3 linked regions of the Arabidopsis thaliana genome follow. The protein of the gene in region 3 interacts with the protein of the main gene of each other region in a pairwise test. Each region holds a gene or a part of one and is shown on either strand. Other genes may lie near its edges.

Evidence for each region.
Region 1: the proteins of AT1G24210 (region 3) and WRKY72 interact in a two-hybrid assay, tested with the Arabidopsis thaliana proteins (one large-scale study listed by BioGRID).
Region 2: the proteins of AT1G24210 (region 3) and MC1 interact in a two-hybrid assay, tested with the Arabidopsis thaliana proteins (one large-scale study listed by BioGRID).

What each region holds. Positions count from the first base shown.
Region 1 is NC_003076.8:4,901,893-4,907,689, reverse strand, and holds WRKY72 (WRKY DNA-binding protein 72), read right to left. Parts: upstream 3,401-5,797; 5' UTR 3,265-3,400; coding exon 3,181-3,264; intron 2,818-3,180; exon of another isoform or gene 2,787-2,817; coding exon 2,196-2,786; intron 2,081-2,195; coding exon 1,967-2,080; intron 1,669-1,966; coding exon 811-1,668; 3' UTR 596-810; downstream 1-595.
Region 2 is NC_003070.9:409,660-414,149, reverse strand, and holds MC1 (metacaspase 1), read right to left. Parts: upstream 2,487-4,490; 5' UTR 2,268-2,486; coding exon 1,892-2,267; intron 1,691-1,891; coding exon 1,360-1,690; intron 1,268-1,359; coding exon 1,147-1,267; intron 1,071-1,146; coding exon 855-1,070; intron 784-854; coding exon 724-783; 3' UTR 596-723; downstream 1-595. Other genes in the region: AT1G02180 (ferredoxin-like protein), read left to right, coding at 1-531; AT1G02160 (Cox19 family protein (CHCH motif)), read right to left, coding at 2,789-2,973, 3,257-3,347; AT1G02150 (Tetratricopeptide repeat (TPR)-like superfamily protein), read right to left, coding at 3,717-4,490. UniProt on the Arabidopsis thaliana protein: Cysteine protease that cleaves specifically after arginine or lysine residues. Does not cleave caspase-specific substrates. Acts as a positive regulator of cell death.
Region 3 is NC_003070.9:8,572,938-8,577,481, forward strand, and holds AT1G24210 (Paired amphipathic helix (PAH2) superfamily protein), read right to left. Parts: upstream 2,248-4,544; 5' UTR 2,122-2,247; intron 1,605-2,121; 5' UTR 1,591-1,604; coding exon 1,451-1,590; intron 1,362-1,450; coding exon 1,238-1,361; intron 1,138-1,237; coding exon 1,036-1,137; intron 935-1,035; coding exon 833-934; 3' UTR 607-832; downstream 1-606.

The DNA of each region.
Region 1 (5,797 bases), on a different chromosome or scaffold from region 3:
ACCGGTCCGGTCGGATCTGAACAGAACAAATCAAACCAAAATCAGAAACCAAACCGGTTTTGAAAAGATTACTAATCATTCACCACCAAACCGGTTCGAACTCGAATCATCATCATTACAGATTATTCGTCGTCTTGTTGTTGTTGTTTACAACTTTCTTGACTTTCTTGAAGTATTTCTTTATGTTTTCCCATTTCTCTTTGCATCTCTTTTCGGTGATCACTTGTAAGTATCCTTTCGGTGAATATCAAAGATTTCTCACTAACGCCCATATGTTTAGGCCCACGCCCATTTGTTTAGCCCCAATAAGGCTGAATCAGCATATCAGATCCATTTCATCCTACAGTACACTTTTAATTCGAAAGTTGCTCCGACACTTTAGGCCCACGCCCATTTATTTTCACTTTTTTGTCTAAATATATATACATATGATATAATATTCTCTCTCTATTTTTTTTTCCCTTTCAAATTGTAATTTTCTTGAAACCAAATTGTATTGTTGACTCTTGTTTTATTATTTTCTACTTAAATAAAAAAACGTTGTGATTATTGATTAATCTAGTAGATAGATTAAATTATTGTATCATCTCAATCTAAATCAAATTAGAACATAATATTTGCCACACAAGAACATAAAAAAATTGTACATTTGGTTTGGTTTATTTGAATTTGGTTCCATAGTCTCCTAACTAAGAAGAAAAAATAAACACTTTTGAGAAACGGACGAACAAGAATCAACATATCTTGATACAAGACTAATTAAAACACCTAATAAAAAATCACCCAAAAAACAAAAAACAAGAACAATGACTAGCTTTTCTCTTCCTTGTTCACGAAATTAGTCGTAGAAGACGAAGAAGAAGAATTCTTGAACATAGAGAAGGGAGGAAGTTGCGACGATGGTTGATCCAAAGAAGCACCCGTTTGATTACTCGCCATAATGTTAGACATCAATAAGCTGCTAAAATAGCCTCCACATCCTTTGTTATTATTCGTCGTGTTGGTTTGTTGAATGTTATTGCTAATCGAATGCCGTGGACCGACAATCTGTTGTTCTCCATTTGATCCGACCATAGTTGAGATGGCAGCAGCGATCACCGAGTGGAAACTTGGGTCGGAAGTAAGCGCTTTTGTTAGGGTTTCGGTTAAGGACTGGCTATTTTGGACTGTTTTTCCTAGGTTGGACGTCCCAAATTGGACGTTGTTGTAAGGATATGGAGTATAAGAAGAATACCCATTACCCCAAATCGCGGGTAGGTTGAGAGTAGACGGGTTTGATGATGTTGATGAAGTAGAAGAGAAATTTAGGCTTGTAGATGGGAATCTTTGGAAAGAGTTCGAGAATTTGTTGAAATTTAAAGAAAGCAATGAAGAAGAAGACGAGGAAGAGTGTTGTGGAGCAGTGAGGTCTAGAGTGACGGTGGGATGTAATGGGGAGTGAAGGGTGGGTGAATAGAAGGATTTGTTGTTGTTGTTGAATCTTGAATTGTCGTAGAGGTTATTTCCGATCATTTCAGCGGCTGGTGAGGAGGAGGAGCCAGAGAGGAGCATGGAGGCAGCGGCTGATGTGGTGGAAGCCATGGTGGTGGCTGAGAGTGGAAGAGAGTGGCTGTGTGTTCCTTCATAGGTTGTGATTAGTATAGACATGTCATCTGCACATCTTTGGACCTAAAACATACATAATCGAGGACAAATAGTTAGATCGTTTCTTTTTATTTGTACACTGGTCACAAATGTTTCTTACTTTCTATAATACCATGGAAACGCAAAGGCAAACGCAAAAAATAAAATAAACTGAATGATACATTTTTATCTTAAATTATGTTGTTCAGTTTAAATTGAATGATACATTTTAACAACTAAAATCAGATCCAACTCAAACGGAAATGAAAATAAAACCAGACGAAAAATTCAAACCGATTTTTTATTCCATTCTTAAATAGACTATATAGAATACGAAATATACCTGTTTTCTAACGGGACATCCAGGTGCAACCGTGCAGCGATAATATGCTCGTGGACATGGATTTCCTTTCGCAATCTTTTGTCCATATTTTCTCCATTGACAACCATCATTCATCTATACAACATAATTAATAAACATGTCCGAATCAACATTAGTCACATATAAATAATCAAATCTTTTAATTAACGTTATAGATCAACTTATTTAATGTATAATTTAAAGGACGTACCGTTGGTGTGTCACATCTTGCTCTAACACAAACTCTAGCTCTCTTAACATGGTTTTGTTGACCGGCCTCACCGTCAGCATCGCCACCGGAGGCTGGTGCTGGAGAGCTTCTCTTCCCCGTAACTTTACCTGGCGCCCAAGCTTCTTCCGAGCCAGAATTTGCACGATTCTCCATAGATAAACCCTCTTTCGGTTCACCTCCGTTGCCATTATTGATCCCTAAGGTCAAGCCGGCCTTAGTCAACTCTTCGTCAGCGTTGACTTCTGCGCTGATTGCGTCCGTTTTCTCTTCCTTTTTGGGGACGCTATCACTTGGGGAAGAACTTCTTCTCCCTAGTGAAAGCGATACAAGCTCGCGTTCTTGGTCAAAAGAACTCAAATCCGTCGTCGTTGGCTTGGGATGATCAACCATGTTTTGATTTTTAGTTGCGGTGTTTGAAGGTTCTTGTTGAATTATGTCGAAGAATCTGAGCTTGAGAGATTTGTAATCACTTTCAATTCGTTCGAGCATTCCTTTAAGCTTCTCGTTCTCTTCCTTCACCTCGCTCATCTCTGCCTTGGCAGATTCAAGTTCTTGATGATCACCATCACCCTGATTAATATCATTGAATAAAAAAGTTGATTAATTTCTCAACTAAATCTAAAAATGTTCTTTATTCTAAGTTTCTAACACATCATACTTCCATTCTTAATTCTAACGAATTATTCAATATTTCTAGATAGATAACTAATATAATCTTCCCGTTTCCATAAAAAAAATGAACATGGTAGAGTTTTGAGTTTTTCTTTTTAAACCAATTACGATAATAAGAAAAAAGAGAGAGGCCATTATAGAGTGGAAGAGACATCTCAGGATACAAGAATTACGTTAAAGCATAAAACACACCGATAAAGAATAAGAACGGTCAGTTTTCTGGTTTTGTGATCTAAATTATTTCCATATACATGTATAATTTTGTATATGCACATATAGAGTTGGTATTTACCTTATTAGCTTCATGGATTTGAACAGATCCAAATTTATCCTTAAGAGGAGACTCTGAAGAGGGTAATTTCAAAAGAACCTCCATTGTCAGAAATATCAGAAGATTTTCGTCTTCTTCTTCTTGTTTGGATTTTCTTTTCTTTTTGTTGTCTGTTTTTTTCCTTCAGAAACATATTATCAAACCCTTTACTTATAGCCATTTGTGTTTGTGTGTAGTTTCTTCGAGGGGACCCAAAGCGTCAACACTTCAACATGTTCAATTTTTTTATTTCATTTTTATTGAATTTCAGTACCTTTTCCTCCAATCATATCTGTGTTATTTATTTTAAACTAACTAGCGAAAAAAGAAATTATTTCCTGACTTTGTTGGTAATAATACTACTTCTCCGTTTAAATAGGGTCAATTAAAAAAAATATTACAACTAGTACATCGAAAACGAATGATCAAACTTAATAGAATTCCTTACTGGTATTTTGTTAAAAAACATATAACACAAATAAAATCAAATATTTATAACCATATATACGTGAATCCAATAATATTTAAATTAAATCTAATGAAGAACTTTTAACATGATGAAACTGTGATGAATATAACAGAAAGTATAAACTTCCTTCTCATTAAGTGAAAGTGTAGGTAAAGTCTATATGGATCTTGGTTATCAGATCAGAGTATTATTTAAATGTCCAAATGCATTAAATGAAACCAATACTTACAAGAAAGAGCCTAAATGTACGGCGTCAAATAGAGATTCTATAATGTGAAAGGATATGTCCTTGAAGCTTCATGGGAGAAGACTTCTTCTATCTATTGGCCTCACATCAAATGAGCATTCGTCAACTCTCTAAAACTTAATATTGTTTCTTTATCGAGTGTATTTATTAGTCCTCCCTCATCAAAAACATGTTTTATATTCCAAATATCTACAAGTTTATACATCCATAGACATAACATTGAATTAATCCATGTGTGATAAAATTTCTGATTGATAATCGAAATGATTTTGCTCTTACCATTTTAGTGACAAAAATTGCCATTTTATCGTATCTTAAGTTCCGTTACTTCATTATTTAGGGTTTCTAACGTTTTTGTTCTGTAAAAGTTTCGAGTATAATTCAACAATAAGTCATTAAGAAACAAATCTAAAAGTCAAATCATGCAACAAGAGAAAGGAAAACAGTATTAAGCATTTGATTATTGTTATATATGTAAACCTTGTTCATATGGTAGGCCAAAGGGTGCGTATACTGGTCAATACGCAGGTCACACACGGTAATTATATGATTTTGTCAACTATTGACTTTGTTATTAAGGAAATTAATCCTTTTTTTATGTCCCAATGCTATTATCATATTCCTGTTACATCTTGTTTCATTTTACAGCCAACATACGAATGTCAAATGCTTCACATAGTTGATAGTTGTCAAATTTCGTCAGTGACGTAACGCTGCATGGCGTTGAAAAAATAACATGCATTTTTTTTCCGTCAAAAGACACTATTTGTTCTATTCTCTTATTTTATATTTATTAATAATTTAGTTTCAACTCAAGATATAACGAAATATATTTTATCATTATCTATAGTTATACGCATATATATAAGCGTTACTCGAACACAAGTATGATAAAATTTCGAAGAGATTACATTAAGTAGCTAACCATTTTCTTATTAATGTATAAGCTAGCAAATTGTCGTCTTTCCTGTCTCCAATTTTTCAAACCGGGCAATTTATTAGTTCTAATTTCAAATCAATATTTGTATGGCCCGTATTATAAGAAACAAATGATTTTTATTTTTGATGGCTCAACATTTAAAAAAATTATTTCGTGAATGTGATTAAATTTAATTATATGCCAAGTTGAATCTTAAATACTTCATTTGGTCTCGATCCAAATTTCAATTACTTTTTTCCTTTTGGGGATCTGAGCTCCCACAGAATTTCTATTTTTAATCACAAAAAAATAATCTTAGTAGACATTTTGATCAACTCAACTTACATCATCCATTTGTTTTTCATTTTTTAGTATAAACAAAAGACTTTCTTGTTAACTATTATAAATGTGTACAGTTCATAATATGGTTAAGTAAACAATCGTGGTCGCAATGTGGCTTTTGTTTAATTGATTAACTACAGCTAACTATTGAATTAGTAATGAATGAGATATTACATTAGGTCATTAGCACGTCCCACATGATTAACTCCAGATTAACTAAGTAAAGTTACGTTACTACATGGAAATTTCAAAGTATTTTATAAGAAATTTTGTTAATTTGTTGCCATTCCGATTACCTACCCGTAATTTCCTTTTTTCTTTTAATGTAAAACTGTATCGTTTTCTGATAACCCACATCGTCACTTTTTTTCTAAAGAGTGATGCTGAAATTTAAATATTTTTGTGTGGAAACTTATTGATGGCTTAATCATCCATAATAAGACAAAGAAAGATTATCAACCTTTTAGTCTTATTTAGACAATAAAAAGTCATTGGTCAACTGTATTAATTATTTTTCTTCTAATTTAGCGATAAGTTTGTTTAATCAGTTATAGAGTAAATAGTTATGTTCATATGGTCGCACTGTTTAATAAATTTGCAAGTAAGACGATTTATTTTTTTT
Region 2 (4,490 bases), 8.2 Mb from region 3:
AATGAGAGTCCCGGTCTTGGCTGCATGGCCCTCCAGTATGTTGAGCTCTGCGAGGGGAATTGCAATGTCAACAACACTCTCAGCTGTGAACACCCTGAAGACGACTTCACTCAGGTGTTTGCCCCAAACTGTGGTGTAGAACTCCCCACTTTTGGTACCATAACTGGCCATATCCTCGGCTGCAGCTCTAAGTATGCAGCACCAGAAGTCGCTTTCTCAGACATTCTCTTTAGAGATAGCAGTGCGTTGTCGGTGCTCAGAAACAGGTCGCATACCGAGGTTGGAGTGGGAATGGCTAGGTTGCATAAAGGTACCTTCTTTTGGTGTCTTCTCTTTAGCGATGGTGTGAAAAACTCCTCCTTTGTACTGGAAGATAACGGCCGGGGTATCAAACAAAGAACAGGCTGCTACAGCGGAAGTGCTTTTCCTTGCAGCAGCAACGCACACATGATTTGTATGCGCCTTCTGAACAGCTTTCTGGGACTTCTCTTCTCTTCCTTCTGTCTATTCGAGAAACACCTTAAATTTTGATTCTGAAAGGCAAACCATTTGCTGCTTGTTTGTAAAGACTAAAGAATAGATGGCACATTTTGTTATCGAATCACCAAATCAATGTTTTCCTTTATTCTTTTGAAAGAAAAATAAAAATAAGAAACAAAAGGTGGTTATATGGACGGATTCTCAAATCACACTCGCTATACATAAAAAGTGACTTGTCCTTTACTAGAGAGTGAAAGGCTTTGCATAGACATCGAATGTTTGGCAAGCAGTCAGTTGAGGCTCCTGTCAAAAAACAGATTTAAGAAAACATTTATCGATCTGTATCAACACAAGAGAGCAAGAAAGAATTTTACCTGTCTTAATCCCCCAATCGCACTTCCCCCTGTCAGAAGCATGCTCAGCACAGTCGTCACAACTCCACCACTACCACCACCATCATTCCCTGTATTCCTTATTGTGGTGCGCATAGAATTCAGAAGGCTTCCATAGGTTGTGCCTTGTGCGCTGCGTTCAATTGCTTGAATAAAACAGAAAGTCATAGCACCCGTAGACGTGATCTTCGACAGCGCCTGTGTATGTGTTTTAATCATGAGAGGAGGAACCAACTACAACAGCAAGACGTATGATTAGAGTCGTTCTACTTACTGATGTGTCGGCCGAAGTCTGATCATCATCACATCCACTAATTGAAATGGCTTCTCCACCAGCAGTTCCTTTCCACAAACCTGACCTAGGCCGATGATCCTCCCACACATACTGCCCAGCTCTGTTTCAATTAAAAAAAAAAATGGATGTATGTTAAATATAACGAGAGAGGTAAGCAACATCCCTTTTAGAAGCGGTTGAGGGACTAATAACCTGTTCATTCTGCATAGGAAGGGTAAATCCAGAACGGTACCACTATGGCAAGCATCGATAATTGAATGGAGCTTGACACCATGTGGAAGAGGGCGTACAATGGTTGCGTTGATCTCATCGTCTACAATCATCCCCTGAGTTTCAAAATCCAGAGGACAGAGTGTTTCATCATAGCCATCAACTTCATCACCGTTGTAGTTTCTTTGACGCGAACCATGACCAGAGTAGTGGAAGACAAGTGAGTCGCCTGCTGTGCATCCCTGTACGAGCCAATACAATGCCATCCTCATGTTTTGCTTGGTCGGGATACGATATGGATCAGTTTCTTCCTCTGAGAATGAAAACCATCCATGATGAACAATTAGTTAGTCAGCTATGGAATGCAACACATTTTTATCAAAGTGGTTCGAAATGGTAACTTGGAATGTGTGTTTATCAGATTGAAGAGGCCAAGGAAAATTGTATTCAAAATCCAAGGAATAGTAGTATAGTAGCAAACATAGGCATTTGAAAAGATAGAAATACTCTGTACCGGTAAGCATGAGAATTGAATCTGGGGAGAATTTGAATTTGTTGATGAGAAGGTGACGCATGCACTTGGCGTCGTTGATGCAGCCTTTGAGCTCGTGGCGAGAGAAACGATACGAGATGCCACAGATCACGGCCCTCTTCCTGCCATGGGGGTGAGGCAGCTGACCGGGAGGCGCGTGGATTTGGGGAGGCGGAGAAGGGGCGGAGGAAGGTTGCGGAGGAGGGGCGGTGCGAGGGTCGGCGATATGAGTAACAGCCTGGCAGAGAGCGCAGCGAATAGATCGGGCGCCGGATGGGAGCTGGAGAGGCGTCCGGCAACCGGAGCAATTCACCAGCATCGGAGGAGCGTAGATGCTTGAGGGAGGTGGCGGGTACATTATTATTCTCGGAAGGGAGGGAATCAGATGAAGACGAATCGGATTACCAAATCGCGTGAGGAAGACGACGATGCAGTCAATGGCGCACGTAAAGAATCGTCGTCAAATGCGATTAAAGGCATCTGACTTTTCTTTGGCAGCTCACCGAACCTTTTACTTTCGAAAGCCCATATAACAGTTTTTAAGCCCAATTCACTACTGGAATCCCTGGATCTGTTTCAGACGCCAGAGTAAAGTAAAAGAATGAGAGAAAGATCTTCTTATTCAATATGGTGGTGGAGAAGCTCTAACTCTCTAACTAAATAAATAACCACTTGCTCTCAAAGTTTAACAGGTATACACCATGATTCACCAATGGGGAGTAAAAAGTAACATTAACAAACACTTTCCACTTGTTTACTTAGATAGATCATACAAACACAGCCATTGCAAATGAAACAACAGGATACTACTAGCTAGGTGATGTTCTGAGACATCATTGGTATTCGAGGATCTGCATTCACGAGAACAACGACCGTGTCTTATTGCGTTCCAGTCGAGCTTCCCTCTGAGAAACAAAATAACACATAGGTAAAGCAGCAAAGAAGTTGGAAACGCCAAAAGCCTAAATATTCATTCACAACAACAACCTCTTTCTTCTTGCATTCCTTGTACACATCAAAATGATCCTGGCATTTACTCTTGTCTGATCCAAATTCTTCAAGACCTGATAAGAAATCAAGGGGTCAAGCTAAGAGGCATAACTAATGAAAACGGAAACACATAAACAATCAGGAATCAAACCCGACGTTATCAATTGATGGGACCTAAATCGAATCACTGACATGGGATTCAACCCACTAATCTAATCACCTTGAGGAAGCATAATGAAATAGATGAGATCTAATCAATGCTAATTCGTTATGGAACTTGACAGTACTGAAGATAACATGTCAAATCCTATCCTCGAAGAAACAATCACAAAGGGTGAGATCAGGAGCATGACTCACATTTGAGAGAAGCAGAGTACTGAAGATAACATGGAGAATCAGATATCCGAGCCGCGCTAGGGTACGCCGCCGCCGCGCCTTTCGTCGACATTTCCCGATCACCGTCTCTCTCTCTCACAACCGATTCCGCGAAGATATCTTAATGGAGATGGGCCTTTGAGACTCTCAGACTTATATATTCAATATCGGGCCTTTTATCCGTCCGGCCCAAAATAAAAGAGCACAACCTAACCTCTCCAATATTAGTCTTAACAAGTAACAACAATCAAACAAGAGAACAAAGGCTAATCCAGTTCCCTAAGCAACACTAATTCCAAATAGCTGTCACAAAAAGGGACACAGCTCTTACATTCATGTTTCACTAGGCAGTCTCTTGTGTACATTATACATATTTCGCATTTCCTCAGTTGACTCCGGTTACAAGATTCGTTTTTTAAAGCAAAGATCTAGGACTATCAGATTACAAATCATCTTGTAGCTGTGTTAGAAGCGCATCGGTCTCATGGGCATCGATTTCACTGTTGTTTACTGTTCTGTTTTCGTCCACATCAATAAGAGCTAGGTAAGATTTGTCTTCAAGATCCCCCGACTGCCTTAACAATTCCAAAACGGCCTCTTTACTGGTAACATCCGATTCCTCTTCACAGAGCTTGAAGAAACCAGACAGCATCAACACCTTGGGCCTCCAATTGCTGGACCCTTCAGCCGAAAAAGCATTTCTAAGACAAGTCAAAGCCTCTGAAATACACCTCTTTCTGGTATGACCAACAGCTAGAATCTCCCACGTACTTGAACTTGGTTTTCCTCCCATTTCAACCATGTGGTCGAACAACCCCTCAGCTGTCTCTAGTTGGTCGTTTTTGACATACGCATTCATCAGAAGATTTGGTATCCTGGGGTCATAAGAAGACTTGACTGGAAGCCATTCCTCATATACCTTCTCGGCCCCTTCAATGTCTCCCATCCTCACCAGCGACGAGACCAAGGCATGGTAACCCAAATTGGGAATGCTCGGGACAACAGATTTGTAGACGTGCCAGACTCGGTACAGCTCTTTCTTGTTACCAAGGCTGCCATACAAACTCAAGAGGTAGTGATACGGAATGCGATTACGACCAGTAATCCTTGCTTCAACCTTCCTCAGTGCATCTTCGGCTTTCTCAGTTTCACCCATCTTTATGTACATTGTGGCCATTGTGCTAAACGTGGTCCAGTTGGGATAAATGGAAACATC
Region 3 (4,544 bases):
AGAAGAACACATGTGTATAGGTACCAAAGACGAATGAAGAAGGCTTCACGATCACGAGCACGAAGCAGGGGAGACGAGTTTCTAGTCTCGGTAGGGTTTTGTTTATGTATTATGATTCCAAGGTTATGTAAGATTTTCTATTTATTTTAATGATTTTTTTTTATTATTTGGTGTATTTTAATTAATTATGTACTTTTTTTAAAAGGGTTAAATCATCCATTTTTGTAACTTTACCCTCCACCTCCAATATATGCAGATTAATCTTATAAAGTTTAAAATAATACGCAATATGACATTTATACGTATATTGTAAACGTTTTTACGATGATATACATTAGAATTTTAAAATTTTGAAGGCAGAGTTGAACTCTTCATCGTGAGGGTTTAGATTTAATATATTACATGTCAATATTTTACAAAATTAATAGTAAAGAAAAAAACAAAGAAGGGTTACAATGCGTATTATTTTAGACTTCATAGGATTAATCTCAATATGTTGGAGGTGAAGGATAAAATTGTAAAAATGGATGAGTTCGAAGTGTTTTTTTACACAAAACCCTTTTTTTAACAACCATTAATTAAGTACATAACAAAACTAAGAAATGAGTTTTAAAAAAATGTTTGATCTTTCATAGGTTTTTCATCAGTAAAATTCAACATAAACAAAATAAGGTTATGAGAAGTATTTTTGAGTTTTGTGACACTTTGAGTTTCAATCATCTGAGTATATCAAATTCAAATCTCATCCTCTTCATGGTGAAAAGCAAAGATTTAAAACCTCTACAAAAGAAACTATACACTCCATTCTCATTCATAAAAAATACATCACTCGTTATAATTGTAGTAGTAGTGATGCTGTTGATACAGGGTTCTTTGTGAAAAATCTGAGAAAGTCTTCAATCAAATCTTCATGATAGAAGAGAACATCAATGACCTGCAAGATAATATTATTTCTAACCAAATCAAACAAAGAGAACCAAAAAAAAAAAAAAAAAACACAAGTACACAAAATAGCCCACCAAGAACAAACATTACCTCCTCTTGCACCTCCTTTACCGACATCTTTCCCTCTTTAAACATCTTCATTAACCCGCGAATTGCCCCCACTACATGAGTATCAAGGCTCTGAAACCGTGTCTGCAGATGGACAAATTTGCTCTAGTTAGTAAAAGAGGAATCAAAAAAGGATTTTGGTGTTTCTCTCCAAGGATTATTTGTCATTTTAGCATGTGTTTACCTTGAGCTTGTTTATAAAATCCTCTACAGAAACAGGTGGAAGGAAGACACTGAAACCAAGAAGAAGATCCTGATGATCTTTCATCAGTTCCTCCACCCTTGCAATGACACTATATTTATCGACTCTGCAAAAAGAGACTAGTAACATCAGAATCAATTCACAGTTGAAAGTAAAGACCAAACCAAATATAACAGGGAAGAAAAGAATACATACCTATGATCACAAACACCATTCAAGAGCTTGATAAACTCTTGATATTTCGTAGGTTCATCATGAAATGTTTCCTTCACAGCAATGATGTATGAATGCGCATCATCCTTAGTTAGAGCAGGTGATACTCGTCTTCCAACCATGGTTTGAATCTAGCCTTTTGTTATCAAAAGAAAGAGAAGATTTTTGTTCAGTAAAACAGATCACATCATTGAATTTAACCTAGAAGCTATTATTACCACTTGAAGAAACAGAACCTAGAGTGCAGAAATCTTAATAACATTACTTAAATCTATGATTTGCCTCAACACTGAAATTGAACAAGACATAAAGCTGCAATAAGCTAAATTTCTCAAAATCCAAATAATTGTCAAAACCAAAATCAACAACAACTAATTCATTCCCATCAGAACCAACGTGAGAACTTGTGTAAAGTGGCCAATATCAACACAGAGCAAACCAACCAAACACTTAGAAGTCTTAAAATCTCAGTCTTAACAAAAACAATAAGAAGTTAATTCGCTAATTTGAGGGTTTAAATCGGATTTGATGAAATTCAGGTAAAATTGATCACACAGGTACGAAATTAAATTCGAAGAACCCAATTCGAAATCATCCCAGAAACTACAAAATCATTCAATGACAATAAGAGAAGAAGATCATCGTATAGTTACCGAAATTCGAAGACAAAAAGGGCTTCCCTAGCTTACGAGTTACGACACACGATCTCGAAGAAGCAGGAGACTAGAACTAGAAGAAGAGATTTCTCTAGGGTTTAGTTTCCGACACTTAACGTTGGATTATATAATTAAGGATTACATCAAAAGTACGGTTTAAAAAAGGAAAAAGGCAAATCTTCTTCTTTTTTTTAATTAATTAATTAAAACTTTTTAATTGAGAAAAGTAAAAAAAGTAAAAAATGTGAAATGCTAATTTTAGTATAGGGATGATCTAATCGAAAATAGAGATTAATGTTTAGACTAAAGAGATAATTTCCCCAAAACATATATTTCTTAGTTTGACTTTGACATAACATTACATACATATATGTGTTAAATTAATTTGATATGGTTAATGTTTAGGAACTACAGTATTTTCTAATACAACATCACATTCAACAACTCTAATTAATAGTCAATAGCAACACCTAGTATACATTCCTAGTATAAATTTGATAACAACACCTAGTATACTTTGCTTTTTATACTATGTGTTAATGTGAAGTTCTAGCGTTTTAAGATATTTTGAATAATAAGAGTAACGAGTTGAAAAAAGATTAATATTATGAAGTTAATTGAAAGCAACAAAGATCATACAGCCTTATTTATAAAACACAATGGCTAAATTCATAACATAATTCCTAAATAAATAAATAAAAGAACGAATCACAAATAAATTATTCAATTTAATACAAATCTAAACCGAACTTGGTTTAGACGAACGAAGAAATCCCACAACATCACCTACCCATCTCATGCCCCAATCTAATAATTAGATCTCCAACCAATCTGGTAAAAATACATTGAAACCAGAAACCAAGTCTTGGTCTCCGTTAAGCAGTTCCTTCACCGCTGTTATGCAATCAGCCCTACTAATTCTGCAATGAAGTTATAAAATCAAAATTAATTACTTCTTCAACACGAAAAAATTGAACCGAACATTTTTAGTCATATTTTCCAAAAACTATGTATATCACATACTTGCGAACTTTAAAATCTTTCATAATCGCAAGAAAGTCTTCATATTTTTTTCTATCATTATGAAAATGATCCTTCACAGCCTTAATATATGCCTTTGCATCAATTTTGGTTGGCTTCGGCTTGTCTCCTTTATACACAAATATACTGTCTCCTTCCGACATGGTTTTCAATTGATCGAGCTGTATTTTCCAAACAAAGAGAATGATTTTTTATTATTATTTGTTTTCACTGAAGAAATTAATTATTTAATTTTGATTTCTATCTTCTCAAACACATTACCTCTTTTCTTTAAAAGTAACTTAAAATCGTTGGAAAAAAGAACAGGAATTTGCATCAGAGATCTTAATTAACAATTACTCGGATTTTTTAACAGTACATGCAATAAACATGACAATAACCAACTTTAGATCGGTAAAGTCAAAGAAGAATTGTAAAAATACTTCAGAGTAACAAACCATAAAAGTAAAAAAGTTCAAGGAAAAGCAAACCAGAAATTTACTACGGGTAGAAGCTTCACCACTAGGACATGAATCGTTTTGAGTTGTATGGGGTGTCTTTATATATCAAAAACCTTGCAGAAATCAGTCCATTTGCTATTAATATCTTTGTAGCAATGAGATATAATTGTATTGTAATATTAAATGAAATAAACACATGTCAGTTTGTAAATAAAATTTGACATTTATTAAAATTTACAGATTTTTAATGTAAATTTAGTAAATAACAAATTAAATTGTAAATTTTTATAAGCATATCTGTCAAAGCTTTATTTTATTACTTCAACTTTTTCGAGATTTTAAAATCACTTTTGTTACAATGTAGGATTTACTATTACAATTTTTTATATATATTATAATATTACAATGTAGCATTTAGTATTAAAATTATATATTTAGTTGATATTAAAAAATAGACTACATGTCAAAACTCAAAAGAATTGATGCCATAGATCTGAAAATAACTTAGTAAATTTACTTTCGTAGTTTTTCAAATCAAAGCCGACTAGCTGTAACTTAGTTTCTGTATGATTCGTGACGTGATTCAAGAACAGAACAAATTAAAGAACGATTTATCTTTATTATAACTAGATGAACACCCATGTTACGCATGGGTTTTTGTTTTTAAAATTGTTGGAAAATATGATTATGGTTTTTTGTTGATTTTGATGTTCATTTTGATAAATTTATCTATTTAATATAATTATTATTTTTTATGATTAGATTCATCTATAACTCGAAATATCAATTCTACTACAATATGTATATTTATATATTTATTATTCTAATATTTCACTATCATGATCACATACTACAACAATATATGATATACTGATACAATGTACAGTATGTAGTTATATTACTTATGTGTTTTGAAACTTGTCTAACTTAATTGTAACA